4 linked regions of the Alligator mississippiensis genome follow. The protein of the gene in region 1 interacts with the protein of each later gene in a biochemical or structural test. Links are inferred from orthologs where the notes say so. Each region holds a gene or a part of one and is shown in the gene's direction. Other genes may lie near its edges. The genes, in order: PLCG1, ITK, PDGFRB and PDGFRA.

Region 1 (7,543 bases):
CTCTGTGCACACAAGCAAAGTCTGTCTGAATTTAAAGATGCAGGACAGAAAACAATTAAGTGTTTCAGTTGCATAGCTACGTGCAAGAGTCATCATCACTGCATAAATAAGGAAGGAAACAGAAGTTGACTCGGCTGGCACCTGCTCAAATTTGAGCAGTGGCAGCAGAGAGAATCAGGTTAGCCAAGGAGTAATGTAGGTTTTATGCAACGTGTTTTATACCAAAGCATGACCCAGGTGCTGCTGCTGATAATAATAATACTGGGTGCTATTTATCACTAGACCTGGAAGTGCTTCAAAAAGCAAGTGTCCCTGCTTGACAATGGAGAAACTGAGGGTCAGGGCAGGGAGCAGCCTCAGTAGCCCAAAAGCAAAGCTAGGAAAGGAAAGCTGGTCTCCTGAGTCTGTCCAGTACTCTAATCATTAGGCTGCACACAACTGCACTAGAGGTGTTGTCCCAGACCTCCAGGATAAAACTCAGCAGGTATTTAAGAGTTCCCAGCAATGCTGCATGAGAGCTGAGGTGTAACAAGAGCTACTGGCTGTAAGCTGACACTAGACAAGCTTAGGCTAGAAATGCTGTTCAGGGAGCCAGGAGGCCTGGATTTGATCAACTGGGGAGGCTTTCTTTGAAGATATCTTGCAGGTACTTCTAAAAGTAATAGCCTGCAAGAAATGGATTCTAGCTGTAGGCCTGCCCTGGAGAGGATATGGGTTGAAATTTTCCATGCTTAGGTTCAGCCCAAAGGCATTTATGTACTTGTATACATATTCAAGTATGTTTACACATGTTCATGCACACATGCCTTATGATGGTTTCACTGTGCAGCGCTGTCCATCTCCATTGCACTGCTTGTCCCTCTCTATAGAGAAAGCACCATCTGTTAGCTGCACACAAGTAACTGATGGAGATGGACTATACAAATATGTAATTTAAAGCATTCAGAAGATGTAAATTCAGTGCTTCTAAAGATGTCCTGTGAAACATGGAAAATGAGTTGTACATGGATGGCTTGCGGAGGAAGCTTTTATTTCAAGAGAATTTCTGCCTATATTTGATATAAGCTTAGAGATAACATGAGTGTTTAAAGCTGGTCTCGTTGGGAATTTCAGAGGCACGTCTATCTCAGCTGTTAATCAAAGAGTTGGAGGTGCTGAATATTTCAGAGAGTGCTCTCTTCCATCTGTTAGGCATTGACATTAAATAGGCATAGATGAAAACATGTTTTAAAACAGTCCAGATAAATCAGGTATCATTTCATTGGTATCTGTAATATCATAATCCTACCAGACAATTTTCTGGGTTAGCAAAGCCCTGAATGTTATGATCTAATGCATAAAAGAAAAGAAAAGGAAGGAAGGAAAAACACAACCATTAGGACTGTCATGCATAATGAAAGAAGCAAAAGGAACAAATAATTTCCCTTGAAGGTCACTCTGATTAGCTGCATCTTATCAATTTATTGCCCCCTGACTACAGTAGAAATATAGAGCTTAGTCTTGTAATAAGCACCCATGCAAATTATCCTACTGTAGAATGAGCCCACTCCTTTGAGTCATGTCTACCTGCGTGATTAAGGACTGTATGACAGTGGCTAAGTAGATGGCATCTGTCAGCTTGAGGGGTCTTGCAGTGAGAACTATGACCCATAACATCCCTGCAAGGCAGGTGCTGAGGACAGTGGACCTTGCCTCTTTCTGTGACTTCAGCACCTCACTCAGGGTTACTATGGGGAAACTCTGGTGTCCAGCTGGGCTCTGCTGCCCAGAGCCTTCTCTTGACAATGGGCACCTACAATTTGTTTGAAAAAACAGCAAGGCTTTCTCTGTCTTGCAAAAACAAGATGGGTTGTGTCCCGTCCCCTGGCCCCTGCCTTATATAATAGCCTGGTGGTTAAGGAACTTGGAAGCCAGAGGCCCAGATACTAATTCCCTGTTGAAGCTGTGCCTGAATTCCACAAAAGTCCCAATTTAGGTTCCTAAGACCTTCTTTTTGTGTCTTAGTTTTTTACATGGCCCTTTAGCTTCGTCAGCAGAGCACTCAGGGGATGGGGATCCAGGGTTCTGGTTCCTTTTCCCAGGACCGTTTCAGTATTTTTACCCAACTACTGTTTAGTGCAAACTAAAGTCCTGCTCACTCTTACACACTTCCGCTGGCCAAATTTGTCCTGCATTCCCTTCTGCAATATAAGAGCAGGGGTGGGGTGAAGAGTGTCCCCATCCAGAATGGTGCTCAGCCTGGTGATTTGGGACACGAGCAAGATGGTGGTTTGAATTCCCTCAGGCTGGGGGGTGGATTTCCACTTCTCTCTCTCACTTCCTGGCCTTAAGCACTAAGGTACTATCTAAAAAGGGAATTAGATAGGAAAAAGAGTGATGGTCATGCCTACGTTTTTGTGAGGCACTTGATCCCGTCAGTGTGTGCTAGGCAAGGTACCAGATTCCACCCCTTAGTCAAGATGGCAACAGAATGCCCTGTCCAGGGGTCCCAACCTGGCGGAGGTGTGCGCTGGGCTGAGCTGCTCAGCCGGGGACAGTTGTGGGCATGTGCAGAGGCACAGATCTAGGTGCCTGAGGAGGTTTCAGGACCAAAGGAGAGATGCCCGTGTGCACTTTAGTTGCTTCCAGGATTCGGTGGCAGCTGAGCAGGAGGCTTCAGGGTTCTGTGCTTGGACTTAATCATGTTTCAGACATCGGAGACCCTGGGTTCAGACCTTGCATAAGGTCTGTCAGGGGTCAGCCAAGTGAATATTATTTCACAGTTATGTTCATTTCACCCTCAGTCCTGCATTGAAACAGTTAGATTCTCAGCGATGCTTTTACCTGCGTCTTGAAGTTTGTACAGAGATGCTCTGTCTTTCCTGAGTACTTAACCTGTTTCCTCTGCCACTAAACCTTATCTCCTCCTGAACACGTGGCCCTTGTGGGTAACTTCATGTCACTTTAAGTAGTTGTAGACAGCACCCTGCTGCTTTTGCTGGTAAGCACTTTGTGCATTTTTAAAACAAACCGCATGTGCCTGGCTCCTGACTTCTAGCTGCAAGAGCAATTGCCTATGCAAAATGTATGTCTGACTGGGCATGAAAATGCCATGACTGGATGCACATATTAGCTCATTTTATGCATGCAACATTTCTGGATATTTGCATGTGCAATAAGCAGATTCATGTATCCACTTGTGAGCATGCAGGCCAAAGGAAGAGATTTCCTGTGGAGCAAGGAGGGAGAAATATCTGCCTGGGTCATGGAGCAGCAGTGGAGTTTCTCCTTGGTCACCTCTGCAGGCTCAGGGCTGCAAGAGTTCAAGCATGTGCTGGCATAGCCAAGCAGTTGTGATATCCCACTTGATGCACCATATTCAGGCACTGACAACACTTTTAATCAGAGCAAAAAGCCTTAAACCTAGAGGCTAATGAAATAGCCTGGCCTAATGTCCTGAAGCGATGGGGTGGGAGTAGGGGAGAAGGGAAAATGAGAGGGGGGTAGCTTTGGGAGAAAGCTAGGGGGAAACTACTCCAAATCAACTTCTTATTCATCTACTAAGCCTCCCTTAGTTTACTTTCCTGTCTGGCTGGGTGTAGCATTGCAGCACTGGCCCCATACTACCAGAATCTAACAGAGCTGGCATGAAAGGAGATGATTCTCCCCTTCCCCAGAATGAGAAAATGGAGCTTGGCATGCAAAGCCTGCTCTTTCCAGGTAGGTGTTAATGGGCATGGTGGGAGTTTTCAGCAGAGGAAAGAACAGATGGGGAGAAGGGCCTTTTGGTTAAGGCATTGGGCTGTGCTTCAGGAGAGCTGGGTTCAGTTCTTGTTCTGCCACAGATTCGCTGTCTAACCTTGGTGGAGTCGCTTAATCTTGCCATCTTTTGCTTTTCTGTTGTCAAAATGGAGACAATATCGTCTTCCTCCCTCCTCCCGTCTTCTGCGTTTCCTGAGCTGCTGGGAGCAGGGAGCGTCCTTTGTGTGTCTGGACAGCCCCTAGCACAGGGAGGCTTCAGGCTTGCCAGGACCTTTGTGTGTTACTGTCATGCTATTAATGGCTAAGAGCAACACAGGCTCTCAGCCAGTCCCCCTGGACCTATGGTAATCAGGTTTCTTCTGCCCAGCATGTCTTTATAGGTTGTAACATGACTCCTGAAGCAGTCCTCCCTGGTGAGCCATCCTGTCTGCCTTCGAAGTACGGATTTTACTTCTGTCCTAACTAAAAGCAGGCCCTGCTCCAGCTCGGGACTACTTTGTGATGACATCACCCCCCCGCGTGGCAGGATACACAGGTGGGGAGCCGCGGCGGGTGTCACAATGCGTGGGGCAGCAAGCGCTCGCCCCTGGGGCTCGAGGGGCGCGCCGGCCCTTCCCCCGGTGCGGGGCTGGGGAGCCCGCGGGGCCCCGCGCAGGGCATGGGCATGGGCATGGCCAGCCCGACCCGAGCCGTCCCGCCCGTCTCCCGCGCTCGCTTCCACCCCAGCTGCTGCTGCTGCGGGAGAGATGATTTATGAGGAGGAAGCTGCCTTGATCTGCAGCTGGAAGAGGTGGAGCCATCGGGGACTGGAGCCATGGGGCTGGCATGAGCCGCCAGCCCCGTGCCGAGGCCCGACTAATAAATCATGCTCAACCCCCGGCTCTCGGCAGCACTGCTCGCCCGAGCCCCGCCGGCGTGACGGCAGCGGAGGGGAAAGGGGACCCCCCGGTACCCGCCTTGTCCCCCGCCCCTGCAGATGCTTCGTGCCCGGGCCGCGGGGCAGCTCCGCGCGGCGGGCACACGGTAACCGCGGGTGCGGCCGGGCGGAGGAAGGGGCTGGGGGCAGCTCCTCGTCCTCGCTGGCCCCGCTTTGTGCTGAACGCCGGCTGGGGGAAGGGCGCCCCTCCGAGCCCCCGCCGTTGCAGGATGCACGAGAGCGGGGAGGCAGATCACGCCGGGTAGTTTCAAATCAGTGGGTCGAAAACATGTAGATGCATTTGGGCTGGCCCGGAGCTACAGGTCTGCCCGGGCTCCGCTCCCGCCGCACGTGCTGCGCGGGCCGGGCGCTGCCGGGGGACGGGGACGGGGGCGCGGAGCGGAGCCGGCTGCAGCGCTTCAGCCATGACTTGCAGAGCTCTCCCGAGATCTTATCGGGCTGCGATCGATGCGGGCGGGGGCGGAGGCGGAGGCGGGGGGAGCGAGGCAGGCACCGCTGGCCCCGAACAAAAGGGAGAGGTTTGCTACGAAGTCGCCTCCCTCTTTCCTCCCCCCCTTTCTCTTTGCAACCCAATCTTTCTGGAGGACCCAGTCCCGCTCCTAATCACTCAGGAATGCTTTGTGTCTGCCTGCTTTCGCTTTAGGCTCCGTCGGGAAGGAGGAGGGGGGAAAAAAAATGGTGCATGATTCAAACCAGCAGAGAGGCGATTTTTTGCTGCAGTCCTGGAGTGAAAAGTTTCGATGCGGGAGACGATCGCTCGGGCTGGGCTCCCCCCTCTAAGCCCTCGGATCTAAACACGGCTTCTTTCCCCCCTCTCGTAGGAAGGGGAAGACTCTTGTGCTGGGAGCCATGAGCTTGGATTGGTTTTATTGAAGTCTGCCAAGTTGCAGCCGGGAGCCTGAAGATCCGTGTTGCCTGGACACTTCTCTGCTTTGGGGGAAGCAGAGGAGGGAGCCATGGCGTCCGGCTTCTCCAATGGACCCTGCATGCAGAACGAAGCCGAGGTGGTTCACCTCTGCCGGAGCTTGGAAGTTGGCACTGTGATGACTTTGTTTTACTCGAAAAAATCCCAGAGACCAGAGAGGAAAACTTTCCAGGTGAAGCTAGAAACCAGACAGATCACCTGGAGCAGAGGCTCGGAGAAGATAGAAGGAGCAAGTAAGTGTGGATTTGTAACAACAGTGGGGAAGGCAACTTTTGATTAGAGCTGATTCCCCACACATCAGACTGTCCGGGTTGATGGGCAAGTTTTCTTGAGCATTGGAATCTGCCTTGCTGTGACAGCCCGGGTGTTTTGTCTAAAGGGGGAAATTTTGCAACACAGATGCAGTAATTGGCAAGTTTTTCTAAGCCGAGTAACCTTTTCTCTCTCTCTCTTAATGGCCTGAAATGTTTATCCTGTGTTGAGTGGTGTGGCAAAGGCAGAGCTGCACTAATCCTTGAATGTACATTTCAGATTGTGTGAATTTTCAATCTAGCTTGAGATCTGGGCCTCTGGCCAGTCCAGAATAACTCTTAATCGTTTTTGTGATAAACACCTTCCTTTCTTCTAGGAAGAGGCCCATCTTTGTTTCTCACCTGACCATTCATCCCATTCACCCTGGAGTTTTTTTCCCTCCACCCTCAGAAGCTCCTAAAACCTGCAAGAAAAGCCAGCCTTCCCATTCCTTGATTTAAAAACTAATCATATTTTGAGCCCATTTTTGCTTCTGTGATGGAGCTGACCTGGGTATTCATCATCTGCTTTCATGTATGTGAAGAAGAGATTGAAGTGAAGTTTTTGATTGTTGTGTTTCACAAGTGCTAATTGACAGGAGTGCATGAGCCAGAGTGGAGTCTTTGGGACTAAACTTTGGTCCTTCAGACCCTTCTGCTCTGGGGAATTCAACCCTCTTTGGTGCCTGGGTTAGCTAAGTTAAATGAGAATCACAATACTTTAATGGGTTACCTTCTAGGTATACAAGCTTACCTATTCTTCATCACCTGTTGAAGGGCACAGCTGCCTAGCTACTTAGAAATGAAGTCCACAGACAAGTTACCATCTACCTTAAAGTTGGTCATTATTTGGCTGCTTTGTTTTTTGTAGAATTCAAAGTTTAACGTAGAATTGATAGCTTTGGCCTTGAGCTCAGTAATTGCAATGAGCTCAGAAGATGAAGCAGTGGATGGCTTGAGATTATAATTTCTTAACCTATATGGCACCGAAATCAACTGTGTGGGTAGTGATTCCTCTGCTGACTTCCATTTTCCTTGAGCTTAATACCAGTTTGCAAAACAAGAAATCTTATCTATCAGATAAGTCATTAGTGACCAATTTATCAGCCTCCAGAGGCTAGACAGATGTTTTCACAGCTGGGTGGTGGGTTGATAAAATATAATCCTCTTGTAAACCATGCTCAATGCACTGAGCACCAATGTAATTATAAATATAGTTATAGCTAATTCTCTTACATTTGCACTGAATGTTTAGGGGCTATACTCTAGTGTGAAGTTGGTGCTAGAGAGAAGGTTTCCAGCCCTAGGTTCAGTTTGGGGTTCACTCTTTGTGCCTTTCTTTACACTGTTTACAATAGTTGTTTTAATTAAAAAACTGAGCATTAATATTGAATTTTAAAGGAGGGACTCTTGCCCATGTCTCCTTCATGCTTCCAAACCTGAGAATTGGTAAGGTATTTAGTTGCATCCCTGAGACCACTCTGTCTATAATTTGGTCATTATTTGATCAATTTGCTTGGCTCCAAAGTGAAAATGGGTGCTCTAGTAATTCATAAATTGGATGCTTATAAATAACTATATGCAGTTTTGTAAAGTATCTAAGAATGCTCTTGTGGTAGGATAAAATTGGAGTCTGCAATTTTTTTCCCA
Region 2 (7,110 bases), about 60 Mb from region 1:
GACATTTCCCGACGTGTAGGACAAATCTGAGTCCTCTTTTGAAAAGCGACAACCACTTCAGACCAGATTTGGAAAGGCATACAGCCACCTGCAGCGATCGGTCTGTTGTCTGATGGGATGCCTAAAAGAATTAGGTGCCTGACTCCCAGAGAGGTGTCTACCTTGCTTATGTAAATCCCACCAGGCTCAATTTATTTAAGTGCCTAAATAGCACTGTAAATCTGACCCTTACAAGGTGTAACTCCCACTCTGGGTGCAGACACGTGGTATATTACTCCCCTAATAATCTTCATCCTTGGGGTAGCCTCTGCATAGAGCCCAGCTAGTTAGGAGAGCTGCTTGGAAGTCTACCACGGAGAAAAATCTGGGGTTAAGTTCCTCCATAGTAATTGTCATGTGCCCATGTCATGACTTTCAATAAGACTCAAGCTCTTACTGTATTTAGTTGTTGTAAAAATAATACTTTGGCTCGTAGGCAGACAAGGTTCCTTGGGTGAATTTGATATCTTTTATTAGACCAACCCAAATGGTTGGAGAATAGTTATTAAGCAAGCTTTCGGGTTCAAAAACCCTTCGTCAGGCTCAGGAAGTTTCAGCAGTTGGTGTGTGCTCTTTTAGACAGTTATAGAAATGTTACCTGTATTGCTATGGAATTGGGGTGATGTTGTAGTCATGATGGTCTGGGAATGTCATTTATGGCCACATTTTGGGTCTTGTTCATTAAAAAGTAACATTGCAAGGATATGTATTTGATAGATGTACTTCCCCATCGTTTAGGAAGCTCAGGCAACAGGAGCGTGGAAAGAGACTCTGAAGCCAACCCATCCCGTTTCGCTGCCCAGACTAAGTGACAGGCAGGGGGGAAACGTATGAACAGCAGTACCTTAGATGTCTACCACCCCGCTAATGAAAGTGGCTGGCACCCTACAAGTAAGAAAGTTTTAAGTAGATTGATATGGCCAAAACAGGTACCAAAGCGGAGGGCCCGTATGTAGCAACCTAAATAATTAGACTGAGTTTCCAAAGTCAGGTCTCCCTGCAGTCACCTCGAGTCTCACAAATTTAACAGTCTCCACTGCCTTGTCTCCTGCCTTCATTCGATCCCACATTTGGCCCTGGCTGTCTGATATTTTAGAGATAAAACCGAACTACTAATCTTTCTTCCCAAGTCCTTGTGAGTTTGCGCCTTCTCTCCTAGTCTCGATCTGTCTATCGTACGCCCTGTCCCTTAGAGCCACCATCACGAGTCATTTTGTACTTCTGTTTTTCCACATCCCAGCTGAAACCATATCATTTCGTTCTTTCTCCTCTTCATCTCCCAAGTCCTGCCTTCTTCCTCCATCCATGGAGTCCAACCACATGTTTGGTCCTTGCTTCTAGCTGGCTGTGACTATTGCACTGTCTTTCTTTCTGGCTGCTAACGAGCACGTGGATCATTTCCTGCTTAATTGCAGCTGCTGGCCCCCCAGCTTCTGCGCTTGATCAAGTCGTGCTCTCTGCACATCCCTCCATGGGCTCTCCAGCGCTTATCACGCTGAGATAATCACGCTTCTTGTCATCGCTCCTGCTACACCCCCCTGTCAAGCATCTCTTTACTGCCCACATCCTCCCTGCTCGACCAGCCCAGTCTTACCACCCTCAGCTGCCTGTTTGTTAGCTTCTTATTTCTGTCCCAGGTTTTTAGGGTTCACTGACCATTGCACACCTCCATTTCCTGCCTGCCAAATGAACCCACTACACATGGCTTAGACCAGTGGTTTTCACCCTGTGGTCCCTGTGGTCTGCAGGCTATGTCTAAAAAGGCTGCAAAAGATGACCACGATCACTCAAAAAAATCACAATTCATAGGGCATTCCACACCTCCGTTCAAAATTTTTTAGGGGTCTTTAAATGCAAAAAGGCTGAAAACCACTGGCCGCTCTCGTAGGTAGTCTGGCACTAGGTTGTGGAGTTCACCTGGGCGCAGCTTGTTCAGATTTGCCTTTCTGCAATGCCCAGAGCACACGGCGTAACCATAAAATAATGAGAGACATATACAATGTGATCGTAAATAAGGAATCGTGACTAAGTAGGTTATGTTGTGTGAACCTCTGAGGCCTGATCCCCAAATCATCCACAGTGGTGAAATCAGGAGAAAGTGCATTGAGAGCAACGGCAATCAGCTCCCCTGCAGAACCGTAAGGTTTCCCTGGAGCTAATTATCATTTCATCAAGGAGGTACAGAGACGGCCGGCAGCCCTTCTGGTCTAGCACACAAAGCTTCTGCCTATGTGTAGAAGCACTGTATCACTTCTGCAAGAGAGACACATGGGTAACTCAGGCCTAATTTGTACAACTCTTCTTTAACAGTCTCCTATTCTTCCATTTTTCATGGTATTTTTTGCAAAATTCCCCTCCTGATTTTATATGGCAGGTCTCAACTCTTAGGGGGAAGGCAGAATCTCTACAGGACTTGAGCAGAAGACCCCCATGATGATTGATTAAGACGCTCCTGGAAGGCTGTACCCAAACTCAATGCAACATGCAGCAGCACAGCAGGTATATTCTGCAGGGATCTTTGCATAGCAAACCCATGTTGAAAAATATTGCTCCCAAGCTCCAAAAGTTTTGTGTGAATTCATCGAATGTGTCACAGAATAGCCCCAGCAACAGAACTAGGCTCTAACATCTAAAAAAAAAAGTCTTTATTTTTAAGAGTGTCCAACTTCTGCTTGAGAAGACACCTTTCTCTACCTGTGCTAATTTCAGGCCAATACAGCGCTTTCTTTGGAGTTGGCAGACATCCTCAGAAAAGAGTGAATTAAAGAGAGGTGCAAACTGTCTCCATTCATTTTAGTATGCTACAAACCCTGAAATCCAGGGGTGCTATTTGAAAAGGCAACTGCTTGCAATAATGCTACAGTGGAATAGTTGTCAGAGGGTATGTCTACATGTTCATTAGTGCGCATTAAATGTAGTGCCTCCATTCTGAAGTACTAGAAAAAGGCACATTAACCTATTTTAATCTGTATTAGTGAAAGCGCACGGTTTTTATGACAATGTGCATTAAAATAGGCTAATGCGCATTAAAGTACATGTGTAGACATACCCAGAAAGACCCAGCTAACGTTGTTTGGTGACACAGCCCATTTACCTGCTTGTCTTTGCTCAAACCCCAGTTGTTTCCTTCTCATTGTCCCCTTTTCCATTACCCAGCAGCTTCTACTATGTAGTTATACTGCATCAATACCAAGGCTACGATGCGTTGACACATAGAAGTGAAGCACAATTAATCCCAATTGATATCAGATAAAACGACGAATGAATTCATCTAAAGCATTCTCTGGTTTTTAATTCTCCTGCAGCTGTTGCAGACTTTCTGGTCTGCTGCACTGGAAAGCTAAGGAAACCATTAACTTCTGGTACAGTATATAGACCCCACTGCTACCGATTATATCGCCCCGTGCTGTATGTACCGAGAACATGTTGCATCGCGATTTTCCTGGGACACACAGCAGGGATTAATTGTCTTCCTCCAAGCACATCTGGAAAATTCAGTGACAGGCAAGAGATTAATGGACGATATTAAAAAAATGGAAATGTCTGTTTCTACATCACTGCTGTATGTTCCTATTGTTTAATCTGCAACTTGCTTCTACTCCCATGGCAGAGACTCGATGGTTATAGAGACAATTTCTTTGAAAAGAAGTTTTAATGTAAGGCATTAAGTAAAGTCCTGAACTGATAAACACGCGGTGGGTACGACAACGCCAGGTGTCTGTGAGAGGGGCTTGGATTCACAACCTACTTCTAAGAGGACAAGGAAGATGCCGTTCCCTACGGTCCAAATTCAGCCTGAGCTCTTTGGACTGGGTACTGCCCAGGTGTCCTTCCGTCCGGCCCCGTTGATCCCTGATCCTTGAAGTCACCCTGATTGAGTGCCCTCCAAAGGTGACTTTTTTCCACAACATTACCCTTGGATCATTTCTCAGCATGTGCTGTTCGTTTCATGACTGGAGAGGATGTGGTTATGGTTTTGACAGAAAGGAAGCCTGATAGCGTTGCCTAGATGACAGACGGAAAGACAAAGCTCAGAGCACCTACGCTGCCTTTTGAACACCTTTTGGTGAGAAATTAACTGTCTCCTTTCTCGTGTCTCTCTTGGGGCGCGCGTGGTGTGCCGAGCTGCGGCAGAAGCTCTCTGTCCTGGGCCAGGACCGTTCCCTACCAAACCATGAATAATTGCATCCTCCTGGAGGAGCAGCTGATCAAGAAGTCCCAGCAGAAAAGGAGAACATCTCCCTCCAACTACAAAGTGCGCTTCTTCGTCTTAACCAAGTCCAAGCTGGCTTACTTCGAGCATCGCCATGGGGTAAGTCAGCCATTTTTCTCTCTTGTTTTACTCTGCTTCTGAGTTAAGAGGCATGTAAGGAAGGGGAACCCTCCCGTCCTTGCTACAGCAGCATCTGTCATACCAGCTCCGAGCTAAATGTCAAACCTGGCTTTTGCAGCCTGGTAACAGCAGCTATGCACAAGGATAATAACAAGAATACATCAGCTTACCGGACATAAAACCTAGGTATTAACTAGCATCCTGTGTATGGCCAGATTGTGGACTGCTGCCATGTTCACAGTTAGGGAGAAAAAGAAAAGTGGCTCTGTTATACACACCTGCTTCATTTGGAAACCGAAGGCAACATCTTTAGCTGTTCAGTGATTGTCTACAACACTAAGCTGTGGGCTACGGGGACGTGGCATCATACTTATAATATTAACAGTTAAAAAATCCCACTCTCAGGCTTTTACCAGGTGCTGTTATGTTTTCTATTGCCCAGATAAAGTCTCAAACAAAGTCTTGCTTCCCTACTTCATTTTCTAAATATAACAAAAATTAAAAACAAGTATGTGTTTGCCAGTGTAGTTAAAGTTTTTACCAAGTCCAAAAGTCTGCTGCTTCTCCTGTTGGATATTCTTGGTAGACTGTTAAATTTCACTAGCTATTGCAAGTGTTTTCATCACATCTGTCAGGAGTCATCCACGGTGGAGAGCTTGAAGGGTTAACATTTATGGCTGCTTATACATCATTTCACTCTGTTGCCTTGCAATATGGATTTTGGGTGTTTGGGGGCAAAAATGTAGGCAATGTTTTATGCATCCAAAATTCATTTAAGTTGTAAAAATATTATCTCTACTATGTGTTTTATCATGTTACTTTGAGACTGTCCCCGCTATTCTCCAAATGCTGTCATTTGAAGGCTTGGGGTGTTGTTACAACTATTTAGGTGGATGATTCTCAGTAACATTTTCAAAAGCAGCCTAAGTAAAGTGACTTAAGCTGCCTAAAGTTGCAGGGAATTACTTAGTTGGGATTTTGGAAAATGCCAAAGCAGATTAGGTGCCAAAATCCTAATGGACTCATGGGGAAGTGGACACTTAATATGGCTAATCATTTTTTGAAAATCCCACTGGATATATTTTGGCACCTATAATTCCCTTGGGAATCTGAGGACTGACTTTCACTGGAGCGCCGGTTTTGTAATTGCTTTGGAAATGTTGGAAGCGTTATCCCAAGCTCACAGTAGGCAAAAAGGGGGCAACTCAAAAGCCCCCCGGAAATAAAATGTTTATGAAAATAGTTAAAAATGTGTCGCGATATCCACCCCATTTGCATGTGCAGACAGGACTGTGCTCACAAGGATGTGTTTCTTCCTCTGCTCACCTCTCGTGCCAATAGCTTAGGTGCTTGCTTTGACAAGACAGTTCCTCAACTATCAAGATACCGGGCCAAACATTCAGCTGGGGTAAATTCTCATAAGACAATTCACCTGTGCTGCGTTAGAGCAGCGAGAGTTGGACGAAGTGCATGTGTAGCCCTGCGTACTGCAGGGAGGTCTACGCAAGACACGTAGGAACATATGTGACTGTCCGTGTGAGTATACTGTCAAGACAGGGTGTGATGGTCCACGGTGATTCCTTGCTTTTATGCCAGTGAGAAATGTTGAATTAGGTCCAAAGTGTTAATAGAAAACCCTAGGTCAGGGCTTCCCAACCTTTTTCTCAGCATGACCCCATTTAAACACTGGAAATTTTTTGCGACCCCAAAATGATGCAGACAAGCTCCACAAGTCATGAAGATGGCATTACAATCATTATGGTCTTCATATTTTTCATATACAATATTTAAAATCATTTCAACTTCTTGTTTAGATTTAAAAAACGATGAAAACAAAGTCTTAATAAGCTATTAAGTGCATTTATTTGATGTTTATTTCAATTGCTTGACCTGTGGATTATATTTACTGTGGTGCCCTGCCATTAAACAACCCTGCTTATATTTACTCCTGTTTATAGTTATAACATATTTATTCCTTTTTATATAGGAAGCATATTCATCATAATAGGTCGATGCTGTCAAGCGTCTTTGCAACCCCATTTTTTATTGTTGTGACCCCAAATAAGATTGTGACCCCAGGATTGGGAACAGCTGGTCTAGGTTGAGGTTCGCTGTCATCCTTGTCTAATCTTGACCGATTTTCAAGCACTTCTTTAGAGACTGGTTACTGAACTTGACTGTTTGCCATATCTCAGCCTAAGGCAGGGCTCAAAGTGCCAAGAAGTCCAGCCAAGAACATAAGCACGCGCTTAGCTTCAGGCAAAACACTTCAGTCCCTCCTTTCCACTGAACATGCATGTTGTCCCATTGGTTTCAATGGAGCACTTATGCTTAAGGTTAATTAATGCTTAGCCTTTTTTGCATAAATTGTGGTGCTAACAAGTGTAAGAGGACCTTCCAAAGACCAATTAAAGCTGTGCCACTTGCAAGGAGGTGAAGAACCACGTCAAAGTACCATTTGGGGAGACGTCTGCAAACTGTATCCAATGCTAACAAAGCGCCTGGTGTCACAAAGGCAAATTTTTAAAATAATTGTCGTGACATTTTCTATTGTACTGCCCCATTGCGGGGACAGAAAGCTCTATTGTTTCATTGGTCCAAATGCGCAATTGCCATTAACGCTAATGGCAGATATTTACATACATCATTAGGAGAATGAACCCAAAAATAACTAGCAACAATAAGCAGCTGTATTTGCTGCAATTCATTATACAGTGCACAATGCCAGGCTGTCTTAG
Region 3 (7,932 bases), about 57 Mb from region 1:
CAGGCAGGCAGGGTTTTGCAGATGCAGACGGACAGCTGCCTCTGGCTGGCTGCAAGCTGCCCGCGGGGCTCTGTCCCTGGTCTCCCATCTGGGCTGTGCGTTCAGAGCCGTGCGCAGCCCCCGGCGCCGGAGCCCCATGGCACGCACACGCCGCAGGCACGCACATTCCAGCACACGCTGGAGAAGGAACGGCTGGTCCCCGCCGCCGCACTGGGCCTCCCCACCGCCCCCAGCCCACCCCCAGCCAGGCCGTGGCCAGCATTCCCAGCGCATTGCTCTCATTCCAGGAGTCACGTGGCTCACTCTCCTCCTGCCCGGCTCCGCAGGGAAGGGGGCAAGCCATGGCAGGAGGAGGGCAGGTGCTCTGCATGCCCTCGTCTTACATCACGCTCCAGCTCTCCGGCACGATACGAATTGTTGTTTCTCCCTGGGAGAAACGTTACAGTCTTTGCATTCTCCTATGCCCGAGGAAGGGCGCATGTGCCTGAAAGCTTGCAAATAAAGGAAGTTGGGGTTTTTGCAACTGTCTAGTTGGGCTAATAAAAGATATCGTCTCTACCACACTGACTGCTTGCCTTGGCAGCGCTCTCAGAGGAGGCGGAAGGAGAGAGGCCGAGGGGACATCCCAGATGGCCAGAGGCCTGGACCCAGGCTGCAAGCAGTGCCCTGCCCTGCTGGAAGCCAAAGGAGACCCCTCGCTTTCCTGGGCCCCCTGCCCCTCCTGTCCCACCTGCTTTACCCCCTACTAGTAACCTCCCCCTGCTGCCTCTGGCACCATTGTGGGGCCCAGAGCAGGCAGCCTTTGGCTCACCATGCTGCATCAGTCATGGGACAGCACCAGCACAGCCTCAAAAGAAGGGGCTTAAAAAAAAAAGCATTCCTTTTTTCTTTTTAAACCAGCCTCTTTTTTTTCTGCATCCCGGTTTCCGAGCTCCTGTCCTCCCGCTCTGTCTGGCAAGGCCTAGAGGCTGCTGCAAACGCTAAATAGGGAGAGTCCGGGGATGGAAATGCAAGAGCTGGGCACTGTGGAGCCTGCCTGCATGGCACTACCCCAGCTCGCCATGGGAGGGCACTGGGCACAGCTGTAACGGGCACAGGAGTTGTCCGGACAGTGCCCAGGTATGCACCCAGCCTTTGCAAGGGGCACATGCAACATGCAAAGCCATGGCCCAGGGGAGGTGATGTACCTCGCCACACATGCATCATGCACACATGCATAGGTGTGCACACATCTGCAGATGCTTCTCTGCACCTAGAACTGGAACCCGAAGTATCCTGGACCGGTATCTGGCTTGGACACTCGCCCAGGCCAGCCCAGTGGCTTGGATCCTCTGTATCCACTGCAGCTCTGTCTTTCCTTTACTTCTGGCCATCGCTGGCCATCCTGGGAGCCCTCCTGTGTAGGGCAGGACAGAGCTGAGCCCCTGCTCTGGGACCAGAGACCGAGGCATAGGTGGGACTCTGCTCCGCTGTGCCTCATGGAGCAATGTGCCAGAACACAGTGGTGGCTCCTAGACCTTCCTCCCGGCTGATGGGATGCCTACGGTCTTTGCTGCACAGGCCAGGGTGGAGTAGGGCCTGCCCACCCTGTGCCCTGCCCTCCAGCTCTGCCAGCACCCTCCAGGAGTGCTCCGGGCTCACGGGGGTTGCACTCCCTCTTCGGCTGGCCTGGCATGGCAGCAGCAGAGCTCACAAGGGGTTAATCATTCCAGTGCCTAAGTGGCTCCAGATGTGCTGGAATGACTGGGGTGACCGGAAGTGCTGCTATTCGCATTCACACTGGAGCGTGCAGCTGCTCCCACCAAGGCACCAGGCAGGAAGGGCCAGCTCTGGGGGGAGCCCCCCAAAGCCTGGAGGAGAGTCAGGGATGCAGTTCAGCCCCCATCTCCCTGCAGACTCATGGGATCGTCCCAGAGCAGAATGGGCACAAGGCTCCTGTGCCCCTGGCCTGGGGGCAGCATTAGCCGCCAGGACGGCAGGAGAGGTGGGGACCAGAGCTGCCCACTGCCGTCGCACTGGGGGGCTCTGGGTTGGCCCCTCTGGGATGCCTTCTCCCCGCACCCCTGGGGCCCACCACTTGCTGCGATAACCACAGCCGCGGGAACCAGTGTCTCTGCACGGTGACAAGAGCTCGTGCATCAGGGCCTCATGTTGCATCAATGCCCACCCAGGCAAAACAGTCCAGGTAGCAGCCCCAGGCACCTGGCGGCAGCTCTCCTTGAGCCCCTGCCCTCAGCCAGGGCTCGAAATGGCCCCTGTGAAGCCATGCCGGGTGCTTGTTCCCACTGTGCCAGCCCCATGGGTGCTAGTGCCCCTGCCGCCCTGCTGTTCATCCCCACTGGCTAAATGAGCAGCAGATGCTGGCATGACTTACAGGGTGAGCATATGCTGCTCCGTGCCCCCCTGGCTAGTGATAGGGCCTCTGACATCTGTCTCGCGGCCTGAGGCTTAGACCCCCACCTCATGGGGAGGAGAATCACCCGGGACAGCTCTCTGCGGGTGCAGCTTGGCGGAGCGGAGAGGAATCGCCCTTTATTTAAGGAGCCGGGGGACTGGCAAGGCCCAGGTGCAGCTCTGGCATCTAGAACGGGTGCAGGCAGAGGCCAGGAGCACCTTAGGCCCTGTGGGCACTGCTGAGCTCAGCATCCCTGCAGCAAACCCCAGAGCTCGGACGTAACTAATCCCTCTGAGCATCACGGCTGGCCGGAGGTCTCTTACACCGGAGCAAAGGGAGCTAGCGAGAGCAGGCAGCCTCTCTCCTCCCACATACGTGGCTTACTCCAGGCTCCCCGTGTCCTGTCCCGCAGCGCCCGTAGCCCAAACACCCTGAGTTCCTAAACAACGTGACCTTGGACAGGCACGAGGGATGCAGCAACAAGGACTCGGAGCAGTTTGCAGCATGCACCAGGCCCTCCTTAGCACGACTTTTTCCTCTACGATGGCTACGATGGCAAGCCCTTCCCAAAGCCCCAGGGTAACAGCCCCCTGCCCTCCTCCAGAGGGGCCTCAAGACCCTGCTGCCTTTGCAAGGGATGGCTGTGGGGGCACACCTTGGAGACCCCAGCCTGCCCACAGGACGGAGGTGACCCCAGGGTCTTGGTACCGGGCAGCTGTCCCGTCAAACGGCTTGTGGCTAAAGACGAACAGCCCCCACCCTTTCCGTCCTGCCACCCCACAGGGTTGGCCTGCAGCAGCTGGGGAGAGGTTTGAGACTGTGCCTGCACCCCGAGGGCCCTGGGTCCGTACCTCCCAGCCTCTCCCCCCACCACTCAGCATGCCGCGAGCAGCTTCCCATCTCAGAAAGGCCCCCAGGACTTGTCTGTCTCTGCAGCCCCTTCTCTGCACCCAGTGCGGGTGCTCCGAGGGCCTTTCCTTGCCTCCAAAAGGAATGAATCCCCAGTGCAAATAGCAGGGCAGCCTGTGCAGGTCCCTCGACGCTGCTCCATGCCACATTTCGGGCTTGCCACCAGCCCATTCACCTCCACAAGAGCCTCCCGCACGGCTGCCCCTAACCTGGGCTAACCCTGCACCTCACACCTCTTGCTCCCTTCTATCACGGGCACCGAAGGATGCTGTGCAAGCACAGCCCCATTGTATGGTAACAGCTCGGGATTTCCCATGGACAGTTCCTCCCCCTCTCCCATCAGCAGTCTCTGGATAAGCCGTCTCCACTTGGTTTTTCATCAAGGAGAGGAAGAAGATACTGAGATAACTAGAGATAAGCAGCAACTTCTGAAACCACCGGGGCTGGCGACTCATCCGCCGGCTCGACTGGAAACCATCCACCTAGCAAAGTAAAATGGTGCCTCCAAGCTGCCCTTCGCCTAAGGGGCACGCAGCCTGTACCCAGTCTGCTAAATATGTTTGGAGAAGGGCAGGGGATGCTTTAGAAAGGGCTTTTTGGCCCGGGGAGATGTCCTGGGACAGCGTTGCCAGCACAGCTTTGTGGGGTTCTCCGCCAGGACGCTCCTTCGGGATTCAGAGCGTCGTTTGGCGTCCAGTTTGAGACATGGAGAAGAGTTGTTTCCAGATAGAGAAACCTAAGGCAGAGCACAGGGTGATTTCCCCGGGGTAACGACATGCCAAAGACCCGCTGGGCCCAGGGGCCATTAACCTATGCTGGACCCAGGTGAGCATTTCCCAGGTCGGCTCAGTGGGTCGTCACATGCTTGCAACATGTTTTTATTGTCTGGGCTTTCCCAGGATATCCTGGTGAACCCAGGGCCTGAAACCAGCTCCAGGGAGCCAGAAACTCACCCACAAAAGGTTCTACTAAGCCAGAAACTCACCCAAAAAAGTGTCCAGATATGGCATCAAGCTGCCAGAGCCAGAGAGGTGCAATAGGTTAATCCCCATGTAGACAGACCCCTGCGCCGGGGCGCTCAGGGAAACCCCCCGCATTTTTGCAAATTCATCTCCCTTCACAAAGCTCAGGGTGCACATCCAGACTCAGATCCAAAGGGCCTTTGTTTGAATCCAGTGTCCACATGGGTTCCCGGTGCCGGGGGGCTAACCCGCGCCCCACCGGCAACTCGGACTCCTTTGCTAGCCCTGGTCCCTGACCCTGGAAGAATGTACTCTCCTTCCTCACTGGGCTGTGCCAGCAAAGGAGTCGTTGTGGTGGGCTGTCGAGCCCGCGCGCAAGGGGCTGCACACCTAAGGGGCCGGGTGGCTGCTGGAGAAACACGGCGGCCGGCCCAGCCTGCTGCCAGGGGCTCAGCCTGCACGGTGCCAGCTCCAGCCAAGATCCGAAGGGAATGTGTGGAGTCAGTTGAGCACAGGCCTTCTCGAATAAAAACATGAGTCAGCTGCTGGCGTGGGCAGCGGATTCTCTAAACATCCCCTCATATCCTGAGAAAGGGGAAAAATGGGAGGGGGGCTGGAAGCCAGGGAAAAAGAAAAAAGGAGGAGGCAGGGAAAAGAGCCAGAATTGAAAGCAGACGCGGAGAGCAGAGCTAGAGCCAGCCCAGCCCAGGGAGGCAGGGCAGGGCAGGGGCTGCTCCCCGGGAGGCGGCTCGGACCTGCCCCTTGCGCTGGATGCTCCAGGCAGGACAGAGCTCGGGGGCAGCCCTGGCCAGACGGGGAAGGGCTCCGGCCGCACAGGCTCCAGGTAAGGGCGTTTGAGTGCCCCCTCGCCCCCCAGCCCTTGCAGTTAAATCCCTGCGGCCATGCAGCTCCCCAGGTTTGGGATTGCAATGCGGAAAGGGACCCTGCTGTCTGCCCAGGCTCCAATGCAAGTCCCCAGGGACTGTGATGCAAGTCCCCAGGGAGTTGGCTGTATAGGGGGAAGTGGGTGACCCTGGGAGGGGGCTGGGGGGTTGCACCCAGAGCTGGGCAGAAGGGGCAGGCAGCCCCGAGTGGGACAGAGGCAGCAGGGTGCCACCCCGGGGTGAGAGCCAACCTCCCCTCTGCAGGGCTGGGGTGATGGGGGAAGCCAAGGGGTTTCTGCCCCGCTTCCTGCTCCTGTCCCAGTGCCCCCCGCTGTGCCAGGTGCAGTGGGGGCTGAGGGCAAAGCTGGGGGGGCACTGGGACTCTGTGCTGGGCATCGGTGCCTTGGCCCAGGCTCTGCCTCTTAGAAAGCAGCTCTGAGGGTGCCCGGCTGGCGAGTACTGCGCTGACCCCCAAGGCACTTAGTCAGGGCCCCGTGGGAAGGCGGGGCTGTGCTTGCTCCCCAGAGCAGGGTGGCACCCATGGGAGAGCTCCTCAGTTGTGCTCTTTGGTCTCTCCGCTGGCCCCACAGCAGATCCCCACGAGGGCAGTGACAGGTCTGCAGGGGCCCTGGAGGGAAGTGAATGCTGGCAAGCCTCGGGTGCTCACTCTAGGAAGAATTTAAGCTTGTGTTTGGGTCCCACTGACTGCAACGTGAGGACGGCTTCCCTGTGCAGACAGGCGTCCCTCTGCCCAGGACGTCCATGGCATCATTCAGTGGGACCTTTGCAACCCCGGCTACGTCCATCCTTGTTTCATGTGGCCCTCGGCATGCGCCTTCACGTGAACGACTGCTGTGCTTGCATTAGCCAGGGAGGCACAGAACCGCGCCTCCCTGACTTGAAATTTGCCCCTTGCAGCGTCCAGGTGAGCCTTAGCGGATAACGTCCCCATGGAGGGGAACGGGGCAGCTCGGGTCTCTGGTGGAGCTGCAGCTTGAGGCTCAGGGTAATCTTGGGGGGAAGCAGCTGGAGCAGAGCTCTCGCTGCTGCCGGGACCTGAGAGAGCTCCTTCCCGAGTAGCCTGGATACGTGCAGCATGGCCAAGTGGAAGGTTTCTTTCACAGCCATCAACCTCAATGGAAAGCTGTGTTCTGGTGAATTTTAGGCCACAAAAGCCCATCAAGTCGGGGCAAGAGCCCCAAAGGAGGCTGAGCCATGCGATGGGACCTTGAATGAGTTAGTGCTTCTGAGCCCACTCACGGGAAGGGGCCCGGATGCACTGTCCAGCTTCCTCTTGGAGGGGATTATTCATCCAGCCGGGACTTTTCGCAGGGGAGCTTTGCACCTTTGCTGTTTGAAAAGACAAACCTTGAGTGGAAGCATTTCCCAGCTCAATGGGCGAGGAAAAGGCTCTTCTTGCACCCAGCACCCATCCAGCATCCCAGCGTGGGTGGCCTGTGCTAAGCAGTGGGGTGTTTCTGCTCAGGTGGGCAGCAGAGAAGGGGTGAATGGTATTGCCGTTTGAATTTGGTCCTTAAGGACTGAGGGTAATCCTCTGGGGAGCTGAATGGACGGCATTCGGCGGTCACCCGCCCTAGGACGGGCGCAGCGCTGCACAATCCGTGTTTCATTTGCAGTTGTGAGAGTGAGAAACTGAGGCCAAAGTTTTCCGAGGAGGTGGGTGTGTTTGAGTGCCTCCAATTTGGGGGCACTCAGCTGAAGATAGTTGTTGATGGTTGTCTTGTGTAGAGCGTAGATTATGGTTTTTATGGGATGCTTTGGATAGGGGTGATCCTGCCTGAAGCAGGGGGTTGGACTACACTGACTTCGGGAGGTCCCTTCCAGCCCTGCGCCTGGGAAAACCAGCCTGTTATACCCTGAGTGCTGAGCATCTCTCTGACATCCGAGTCCCTTGCTGAGGTCTGTATCCAAAATCAGAGACCCCCCCAGTCATGCCACCGCAGGGAGTCGTGGTCCCACATGCTCAGTGGGTGGAAACCAGGGGTTTCTGCAGACCTCACCTGCTCTGCGCTCATTGCCTGTGTGCACACACTTATCCCACCAGAAGTGGGAGCTCAGCCATGGTGACTTCTCTTCCACGCAGGGTAAGGGACCACACAGCTTGGCTCCCTCTCGGGGTAGGTCTGAGCATGCAGAGCTATCACCGAGCAGCTGCCACACGAGAAGTCCCCGTCCCCCCGCCTGTCAACTATCCCTATGTCCAGGTACTAAGTGAGAGCTGGCAGGGCAGGGGGAAGGCTGGGAAGAGCAGCAAGCAGTGCCCCGGTTTCCCACGTGTCCCCAGAGCCATGGGAAAGGAGGATGGTGTGCAAAGAAAGGTCTCCTGCCTGAACTGTCATCGGGTGGTGAATCTGAGACGATACACAAGGTGCAGGCAAGCAAGAGGGAGTCCGGCGGGAAGCAGCAGGAGGGATGAGAGGTTTACGAACGTGTTAAAAAAAAAGGGTGAAGGAACTAGGCTCCTTTAGTCTAGAGAAGAGAGGACTGATATGAGAAGTCTCCTTCTTATGTAAAAGGTTGTAGAGAGGACAGTGAGCTGTCGTCTGGGATTTCCATTTTGGATGCTTATCTTGCTGGGATCCTGTGACTCCGGCTGACTTCCTGCCCTTTGGGCCAGGGGCTGGACTCGATGATCCTCCGGGGTCCAGCCCGAATGTCTATGAATGTATGACAAAAAGAAATCATTTTATTTGCAACACAGAAGATTTAGGCTGGATGTCGGAGAAACATCCTCAGCTAGAGAACCTGGACCCTTCCTCCT
Region 4 (7,378 bases), on another chromosome or scaffold:
GCGCCTCCGCAGCTCGTTTCCCGCTCGGAGTGCGCATCTGACTGCGGATCAAAGAGAAATTCCCAGAAGCCACTTCCTGCCGCCGCTCCTGCACATGCTGCTCAGCTGCATCGGGGCAGGGAGGCGTTTCTTTGAGACTGGCAACGGCGGGGAAGGGTGCCGCGCCTCCCGAGCATGGCCTGAGCCAGGCGTCCCTTGCCCCGAACTGGGCTGCCGCTCCTGGCCTCGCGGGGCATTCACGGCTGCATGGATCCAGATGGAGTGGCTGTGTGTCCCCCGGTGCAAGACAGAAGCAGGGGAGCCCCCCCCTGCCCCTTTCCCGCCTGCCCCCGCCACCCCGCAGGGCCCACGCGAGAGATCGCGGTGTGTGGCGAGCAGAGGCACGAAGACGGGCGGGTGCGCAGGGAACCGGGTGCCCCGTGCTCCCAGGGCCTGTGTGCTGCAAATGCCTGAGCAGGGGTTGCCATAATTAAAAGCAGGCCTCCGCCAAGCAAGACAAAGGCTCCCTCCCTGCGACGGCATCTGGAGAAGCCCGAAGGAACGGACTCTTCGCCCGCCTTGTGTCCTCAGCTACTTAACCCGAGTCCATCGCACCCTCGGGAGAGGCAGGAAAGGGGTCATTACTTCCAGCAAATTGTTTCTTCTCCCGAGGCCAATAGCGCTGCAGGGGCGAGGGGGGCAGGTTGAGGCTCCCGGCCCGGCCCAATAAACAGCCGCGCGTTGCAGACTGTAATGAGCAGCCCCAGAGAGGCGGAAGCGCGGTTCCTCCCAGCAGAGCTCCCCCCTTCTCCCCAGGGAGCCAGGCCCGCTCCCCACAGCAGCCCTGGAGCCTCCCTCCCAGCTGGGCCTTGCAGTCAGCGCGCGGGGAAGGGCTGAGGTGTCAACACCAGGCTCTGTCTTGTTTCAGCTGGGACTGGTTGGAGATGTGGAGCTCGCATCTGCGTGCCACATAAACAGCCCTCCCTCCCCCCAGCACAGCGCCGTATGCTTCAGGCTGCCTGTTCTGGAAGAGCCTGAAAAGGGAGCCCTGTAACAGCTTGGGATAGAAGAGACCCGCTTGGCCCCACTGTCACATACAGTCTCAGGGTTGGCAGGGACCTCAAGGGTTGCCCAGCCCCACCCCCTTCCCAGATGTTCCTAAACCATCCCACTGAAGTGCTTGCTTTTGCACCCAGAGCCCAGGCACTCGGGTTTGTCCCACGCAAACACAAGCAGCTCAGGTGCCTCCTGCCTTGCCTAGCTGCCCTTCGCTGGGGTTGGGAGAAGACAACTGGTCACGGAAGCCATCTGGGAAACAGCGCACACAGGAATACATCTTGCTGAAGCATCTAGCTTAGGAGAGAGCTGTTTGTTTTAAGACATCATCCTTAAGAGCTGCTGGCTCTGGCAAAGCCACAACCACCAAGCTTTTCTGGAAGAAAAGTGGTAAAACTATCCAGATGTGGGGTGCCGTGTAAGGCAGGGCTTCTTAGCCCACCAGGTTCCCCCCGCCCCCCCTCCAACCCCTTCCCCCAAGCCAGACCCCCGCACACGGGCCACCCCCGGGGTGCTGGCATGTGACAGTGGTATGGAGTGCCACCTTCTCCACCGCCAGCACCGCGACAGGATCCGTTTGCAAAGCCTGTTTCTGAACTCAGGAAGGAGGAGGCTGGAGGGGGCTGGGACGTGAGCACAGTGGGGTCTCTCTCCCAGCAAATGGCCAAGAGTCAGCTGTGCTGGGAACTGGGGAGAGCGGGGCTCTCCACCCGAAGGCACATCTGGTGTGCATCTCCCTTTGCTCTCTGCCCGGCAGATACCTCGGGAGGTACAAAAATAAACACGCAGCCTTGTAAACGCGGAGATTTCTCGCCCTGTTTCCAAGCGCGGGACCACACAGGACAGCGTTGCTCCTCTCTCCGTGCAATAATCTCGTCGGATCTTACAACAACAGCATGGAGAGGGCTCCTGGCTCTCCCCCCCGGCGAAGCCCTGCAGGGTGATTGACACAGAGGGGCCTGGAGACAGCTCCCCCGGTTAATTAATGAGGTGACTCGGGACTGGAGATAAAGGGCTGCTAATGTCATCACTTTTCAGGTACCAATCCCTGCGCTGGGCCAGGAGCAGAGGCAGGAAAGGTCGAGTGATTAACAATTGCTCCCGCTCCCCAAGCATGTTCGCGCCGGGCCCGGTCAGCCGAGACGAGGGCAGCCCTGCTGCTGTCCCGGCCCGGGGCTGGGGACCATGCCCGGAGCGTGCGTCCCGCCGGGGATGGAGGCCTGCGAGGCAGCCACCTCCCCAGACCAACACGGCTACAACCTACACCTCCCCAGACCTGCACTCCAAGGAGGTTCGCTTTGTTGTTCAGCCCTGTGATCTGATCTCCCACATGGAAGCCTTTAGCGATTGTTTGTTAATGATCATGACAAAGGCATTATTCAAATTAGGCAGGTAATTACAACCAGAAGGAGCTTTTTTTTGTTTTCTTTTTTGTTTTTTTTTTCCTCTTCTGCTTCATTTTTTTTGTTTGTCCTAGAATGGGTCTCCCGTCACATCTGATCACGAAAGTACTCCATCAAAGGTCCCTTTACAGCGTCACTCGGCCTATCCGTGCACAAATCAAGGCAACGAAAGTGAAGCCAGCCTGCAAACCCACTCCACGCTAGCTCCTGGCAGCCCCTGACTGATACCCTAACTTTGTTTCAAAATTTGAAGTCCATTTGCATTTCAAACATCTTAAAGCACCTTTCGATTTCCTGAGAGCCTTGTCTCCTCATTCTCTCTCTCGTCACCACCACTTTAAACGATCAAACTTATGTATTTATTTACCTGTCAGGTAAAAAATTGCAAGATGAGTGTACCCTCCACTGCCCCTTACCCTTACTTCCAATCCATGGGAGCCTGTTATTTATTTACAAGCATTACGGTATCCTGTTAGCATTCCGAACAAGGGGCTGTTCATATATCTGCTTCCAATGATTTCCTGAAGGAACATGTGGAAGCAATAGTGAGGTTGTGCACTCACTCAAGCTGAAGATGTATTAAGGCTGCAGAAGGCTGCAGGCAATGTGATCAACTGAGCCCAGGCAGGGGGGACCCTGCCAGCCCAGCCACGGGGACTCGGCTGGCCCATGCTTTCGCTGCCTGCCTTTCACAGCCTTCCTCATTTCCCTTCGGGGGCATTTTCGCTTCAGAGACTAATTCTCCTTAGTCTGGGAGAGATGGAGCCTCTGGAGCCTGCTGCTTGACTTTGAGAACAAAGTTTTGCTTAGAAAGGAAGGGAAGGGGGATGCACGCAGGCACTACGCGGGGGAAGGGGAAAGCAGGCAGAGGATGCAGACAAGAAGAGGGGGAACCACTGTAACCTCCTCTTCTTCGAGAACCCCCTTCCCAGCGCCCAGGCGCGTCCGGCCCGGTGCCCTACGCGTCCCGAGAGGGGCCAGTCGGACGCGTCTCAGCCTCCTTTCCTGAGGCTGCAGTGCCCCCTCTCCCACGACCGCTGCAAAGACACCGCACGGAAAAGAGCCCGTCTCACTCCCCCAGCACAGATACCCCTCGGCGCTCACCACCCCTCCCTGTCTCCAGCACGCAGCAACAATCAGCAAGGCAGAGATACTTTTATCTCCCGCCGGGTGATCAAAGCCCTGTCCAGAAAGCCGGATTCACAAGATCAATTCAAAATTGTGGAGACGTCGTCTAGACAGGGTTCCCCGATCTCGTGCCGAGACCATCCCAAGCCTCCCGGTTGTCGGAAAGCAGCGGGCTTTTTGTTGTTGTTGTTGTTGGGTTTTTTTCCCTAGCGTTACCTTTCGCGGTTTCTTTCATTCATAACTATTGCTCACTCGGCTGCGGCTCAGTGCCTGCTGCTTCTGGCTAAGACGCTGCCATGCGGCTTTGTGCGCTGAGCCCTGAGCCCAGTCGGGTCGAAAAGACGGCGTGACATTCATTTCCAGCTCAGCTTTTCATCCCGAGACTTACATGGGGAGGATGGACACACGTCCGGGCATCTGGCACACCTTCCCCGAGTGCGTGGCCGAGGAGGAGAGCTCGTTCATGACACGGGGAACACTTGGGGCTTTAAAGAAACTTTGTTTCCCCCTCCCTGCAGTGCACAGCTCTCCTCGCCCCCTCCCCCCCCATACACGCTCCCTTGCCATATGGCTAAACTCCCCCCCCTTTGCCCCCCCGGCCCAGTCCGGGGCTGGTGGAGTCTGCAGGCGGCGAGTGGCTCCCCTGCTTGCACAAGAGCCCCCCCCCCGCACGCAGGCTGCAGGCGGCGGGGCCGCAGGCGCGGGGCGCGGGAGGGCGGCTCTTATTCTGAAGGGGCCGGAGGGGAGGGGAGGGGGGGCTTCGTTTCCTGACAGCTATTTACTTAAAGCAAATGATTAGTTTTGGAAGGATGGACTCGAGCGCTGGATCAATGACGAGGCGCGGTTTCTGAGCCCGTCCCAGTCGGATCTAGGGGGAGGAGGAGAAGCCACCAAGGACGTGGAAGGATTTGGGACTCCGCGCGTAGGGCTGGCGGCGCGGGTCCGCGGAGCCAGGAGCAGGTACGGGCTGGGTGGGACGGTCCCCCATCGCCTCGCCTTCTCCAGGGGCCGCTTGGGAGCAGGGGGAGGCGAAGCACAGCAGTCCCTTCCGATGCAGGCCATCAAGTCGCGGGGGGTGTGGGGGACAGAGCCAGCGGTTGTGCAGTCCCTGGGGCGGCTCACCTGGGAGCGCCGGGGAGGCGGCGAGGGCACATCTCAGCTCCCGGGGAGCTGCTGGGAGGGGGCGGGCGGCAGGATGGAGACCGGGGCGGGAGCGGGGATCTGCGCAGGGACGGGGATTGCCCCGCGCTGCGGGCGGCCGCGGTGGAGCGGCAGAGACTGGCGGACACACGTCGCGGCTCCCGGGGAGCTGGGTCGGGCTCGGGGGGCCGGGACAAGCGACCGCGGGGCATAGCCTGGCTGCTACTCCCGGTGCCCTCCGCAGCAGGACCAAATGGTCCCGATCTCTGGGTACGGCGGCCCCTCAGACCTGCCCCCACAGCTCCGGGGGCCCCGCAGCCTCGTCCCTCCCGGGCCGGCGTCGGCGCGGATGCGGTCAGGACCCCTCGGCAGGGTCCGGGGAGAGCGAGGAAATGGCTCCTGGGGTTGCGGCGGCGTTGCTCAGCCCCGGGGGGCTCCGGCAGCGCCAGACCCCGGCCCCCGCGGCGCGGCTCCTCCCGCCGGCCCGGGATCCCTTGGGGCTCGTCCCCGCCCGGCCAGCGCGGGCAGCAGCCGCGGCGCCCAGCGGGCAGAGCCACGTCCCCGGGGCGGGGGCGGCCACGGGCGGCTCCGGGCACTCGCTCGGCTCCCGGCCGCGCCGTCGCCCCGAGGGATCCTTCCCGCTCCCCCCGGCCCCGCCCGGGCTCCCCCCAGGGCACAGACGAGGCGGACCCCTGCCCTCTGCTCCGTGGGGCAGCCGAGCCCTGCCCGGGGAAGAGGGCAATCCGAGCCTGGACAGCATTTCAGTCCCCAGGGAGGAAATAATAGCGGGTCCTCCTCTCCTCTCCTCTCCTCTCCTCTCCTCTCCTTCTTTCTTTTCTTTTTCTGGCTAACCCGCATAAAAAAATGTTGCTTCAATTTGGCAAGGGCTCCCCTATTGTTTCCTAGGAAAACAACTCCGAGGCTGGATGTTGCTATTGCTGCTGGACGCCCCCCCCCCCCCCCCTCTCGGATCATCCCCCCACGCTTTCCCCGCTTCGGGACACCAGCGCCTGCCAGGGCTTCACTTCCCAAGGGCCAGTCCGTGCTCTGGAGACATTCAAAAACCCAGGACAGGGGCTTTGAAGGGGTGAATGTCAACACCCTCCTCCCCCTCCCAGCTGCCCGGCTTCGTAACATCCAGAGGTGGAGGAGCCCCCATGCCCGTGCCTTCCCGAGCTGAGCCGTCCCGGGGCAGACCCCCACCTCCCAGCTGCTCACTTCGGGTCCTTGTTGCAGGCAGACCAGGGTGGAGAGCAGCCCCTCGGGTGCTTCCCATTCACGGCCGGCGCTGCTCTTTCTTTAAGCTGCCTAAGCTTTCTGCGTGATTTCGGCCGCACCCCATTCAACATCGAGAGACCCCGCTGGTTTCGTCCCATTTCCTCCCCCAGATCCGGTCCGGTCCGGTCCACATGTGCGAGTGGCTCTGGGCGGGGAAGAAACTATTTGGCCCCTGACTTGTGACCTCGCTGCCCAGCGCCCGGATCCCGCCCAGGGGGTCATCTCATCTCAAAGAAGGACCCCCCGGAAGGATCCGTGAGCGAAGGGATCCCGCATCTGGTTGTCTCCGCGGTGGGAGGCTGAGCCACCCCCCCGGGCTGTGCGTTTCCCAGGGGGTCCTAAGAGCAAAGTCAGGCTCCCTGGTGCAGGCCGAGGGGCTGGAGGTGGCTGGAGCAGGCTCTCGGCTGAGGCGGCTCCCGAGGGCAGGCGGGGGGCAGAGCTGCCGAGGCGGCTGCTGCCCGTGTGATGTGGCGGGGCGGAGAGGAGAGGAGAGGAGAGGCTGCCGGGTGCCAGACAGCGGTTTCCCAAGGGCAAGGCAGCGGCGGAGTCTCCCTCGGGCCGGCCGGAGCGCGGGCTGTGCTGCCCCCTGGCCGCCGCAGGAGGGAGCCGCCAGCCGCTCCCCGGAGCCTGCAGCTGGTTTCATTCGGCGGCTGCGCCGCGGGCTCTGCCGGGCTCGCCCCACGCGGCTCGCTCCTCGCGGGCCGGATCCTGTGCCCTTGCTGCGGTGAGGCTGAACCTGGCCCCGGCTTCATTTCAGTGGAGCTGACGGGAGCACTGCGCCGTAGTGATGACGAGGAATCAAGCCTGTGGCTCTTGTCCCAACTCATGCATATGCAACCAGTCTTAGGGCTTCGAGCCTGCCACAGCATCTGCCAGCACAGCTCCCCCGGGGCACCAGTGCTGAATCCCGGAGAAGAAGATTCCCTCAGAGTTTCCTACCAAGCCAGTGGGAAGAAGCACAGAGCCTGACCAGACAGGAGGTCAGAAATCAAAGCCTGCAAGGTTCATATTTTGTCTGAATCCCAATGATAGGGTTTTTCAAAATGATCATAAAATCATAGAGCATTAGGGCTGGAAGGGCCCTCCAGAGGTCACCTAGTGCAACCCCCCTGCCTCAGGCCGGATCATCGCTATCCCAACCACCCTATACCCTCCATAATCTAAACTACTTAAGAAGACCGTCAGCCCTGACACAACACAGACCTAACAAAATCTGATCTAGAAGCAGAAAATTCTTTTCCAACGAGTTTCCTTGCTCTGCATGTTGGACATGCCCCCAGACAAACAATGGCTTCAACAAAGAGAATTTTTCTCCAAAACTTGGAAACAGTTTTAAGAAAAATTACAACTACACAAAAATTTAGGATTTAGCAACCCAAACAACACTGGGCTCC

The links.
Region 2: the proteins of PLCG1 (region 1) and ITK form a complex in vitro, tested with the Homo sapiens proteins (2 studies listed by BioGRID, with this or other methods). The link is inferred for Alligator mississippiensis from reciprocal best matches to the Homo sapiens genes PLCG1 and ITK.
Region 3: the proteins of PLCG1 (region 1) and PDGFRB form a complex in vitro, tested with the Homo sapiens proteins (3 studies listed by BioGRID and IntAct, with this or other methods). The link is inferred for Alligator mississippiensis from reciprocal best matches to the Homo sapiens genes PLCG1 and PDGFRB.
Region 4: the proteins of PLCG1 (region 1) and PDGFRA form a complex in vitro, tested with the Homo sapiens proteins (2 studies listed by BioGRID, with this or other methods). The link is inferred for Alligator mississippiensis from reciprocal best matches to the Homo sapiens genes PLCG1 and PDGFRA.

The regions. Positions count from the first base shown.
Region 1 is NC_081832.1:17,809,609-17,817,151, reverse strand, and holds the start of PLCG1 (1-phosphatidylinositol 4,5-bisphosphate phosphodiesterase gamma-1), read left to right. Parts: upstream 1-4,543; 5' UTR 4,544-4,764; intron 4,765-5,210; exon of another isoform or gene 5,211-5,499; 5' UTR 5,500-5,634; coding exon 5,635-5,836; intron 5,837-7,543. UniProt on the Homo sapiens protein: Mediates the production of the second messenger molecules diacylglycerol (DAG) and inositol 1,4,5-trisphosphate (IP3). Plays an important role in the regulation of intracellular signaling cascades.
Region 2 is NC_081832.1:77,836,799-77,843,908, forward strand, and holds the start of ITK (tyrosine-protein kinase ITK/TSK), read left to right. Parts: upstream 1-4,103; 5' UTR 4,104-4,213; coding exon 4,214-4,351; intron 4,352-7,110. UniProt on the Homo sapiens protein: Tyrosine kinase that plays an essential role in regulation of the adaptive immune response. Regulates the development, function and differentiation of conventional T-cells and nonconventional NKT-cells.
Region 3 is NC_081832.1:75,044,858-75,052,789, reverse strand, and holds the start of PDGFRB (platelet-derived growth factor receptor beta), read left to right. Parts: upstream 1-4,932; 5' UTR 4,933-5,110; intron 5,111-7,932. UniProt on the Homo sapiens protein: Tyrosine-protein kinase that acts as a cell-surface receptor for homodimeric PDGFB and PDGFD and for heterodimers formed by PDGFA and PDGFB, and plays an essential role in the regulation of embryonic development, cell proliferation, survival, differentiation, chemotaxis and migration.
Region 4 is NC_081825.1:59,716,261-59,723,638, forward strand, and holds the start of PDGFRA (platelet-derived growth factor receptor alpha), read left to right. Parts: upstream 1-4,361; 5' UTR 4,362-4,526; intron 4,527-7,378. UniProt on the Homo sapiens protein: Tyrosine-protein kinase that acts as a cell-surface receptor for PDGFA, PDGFB and PDGFC and plays an essential role in the regulation of embryonic development, cell proliferation, survival and chemotaxis.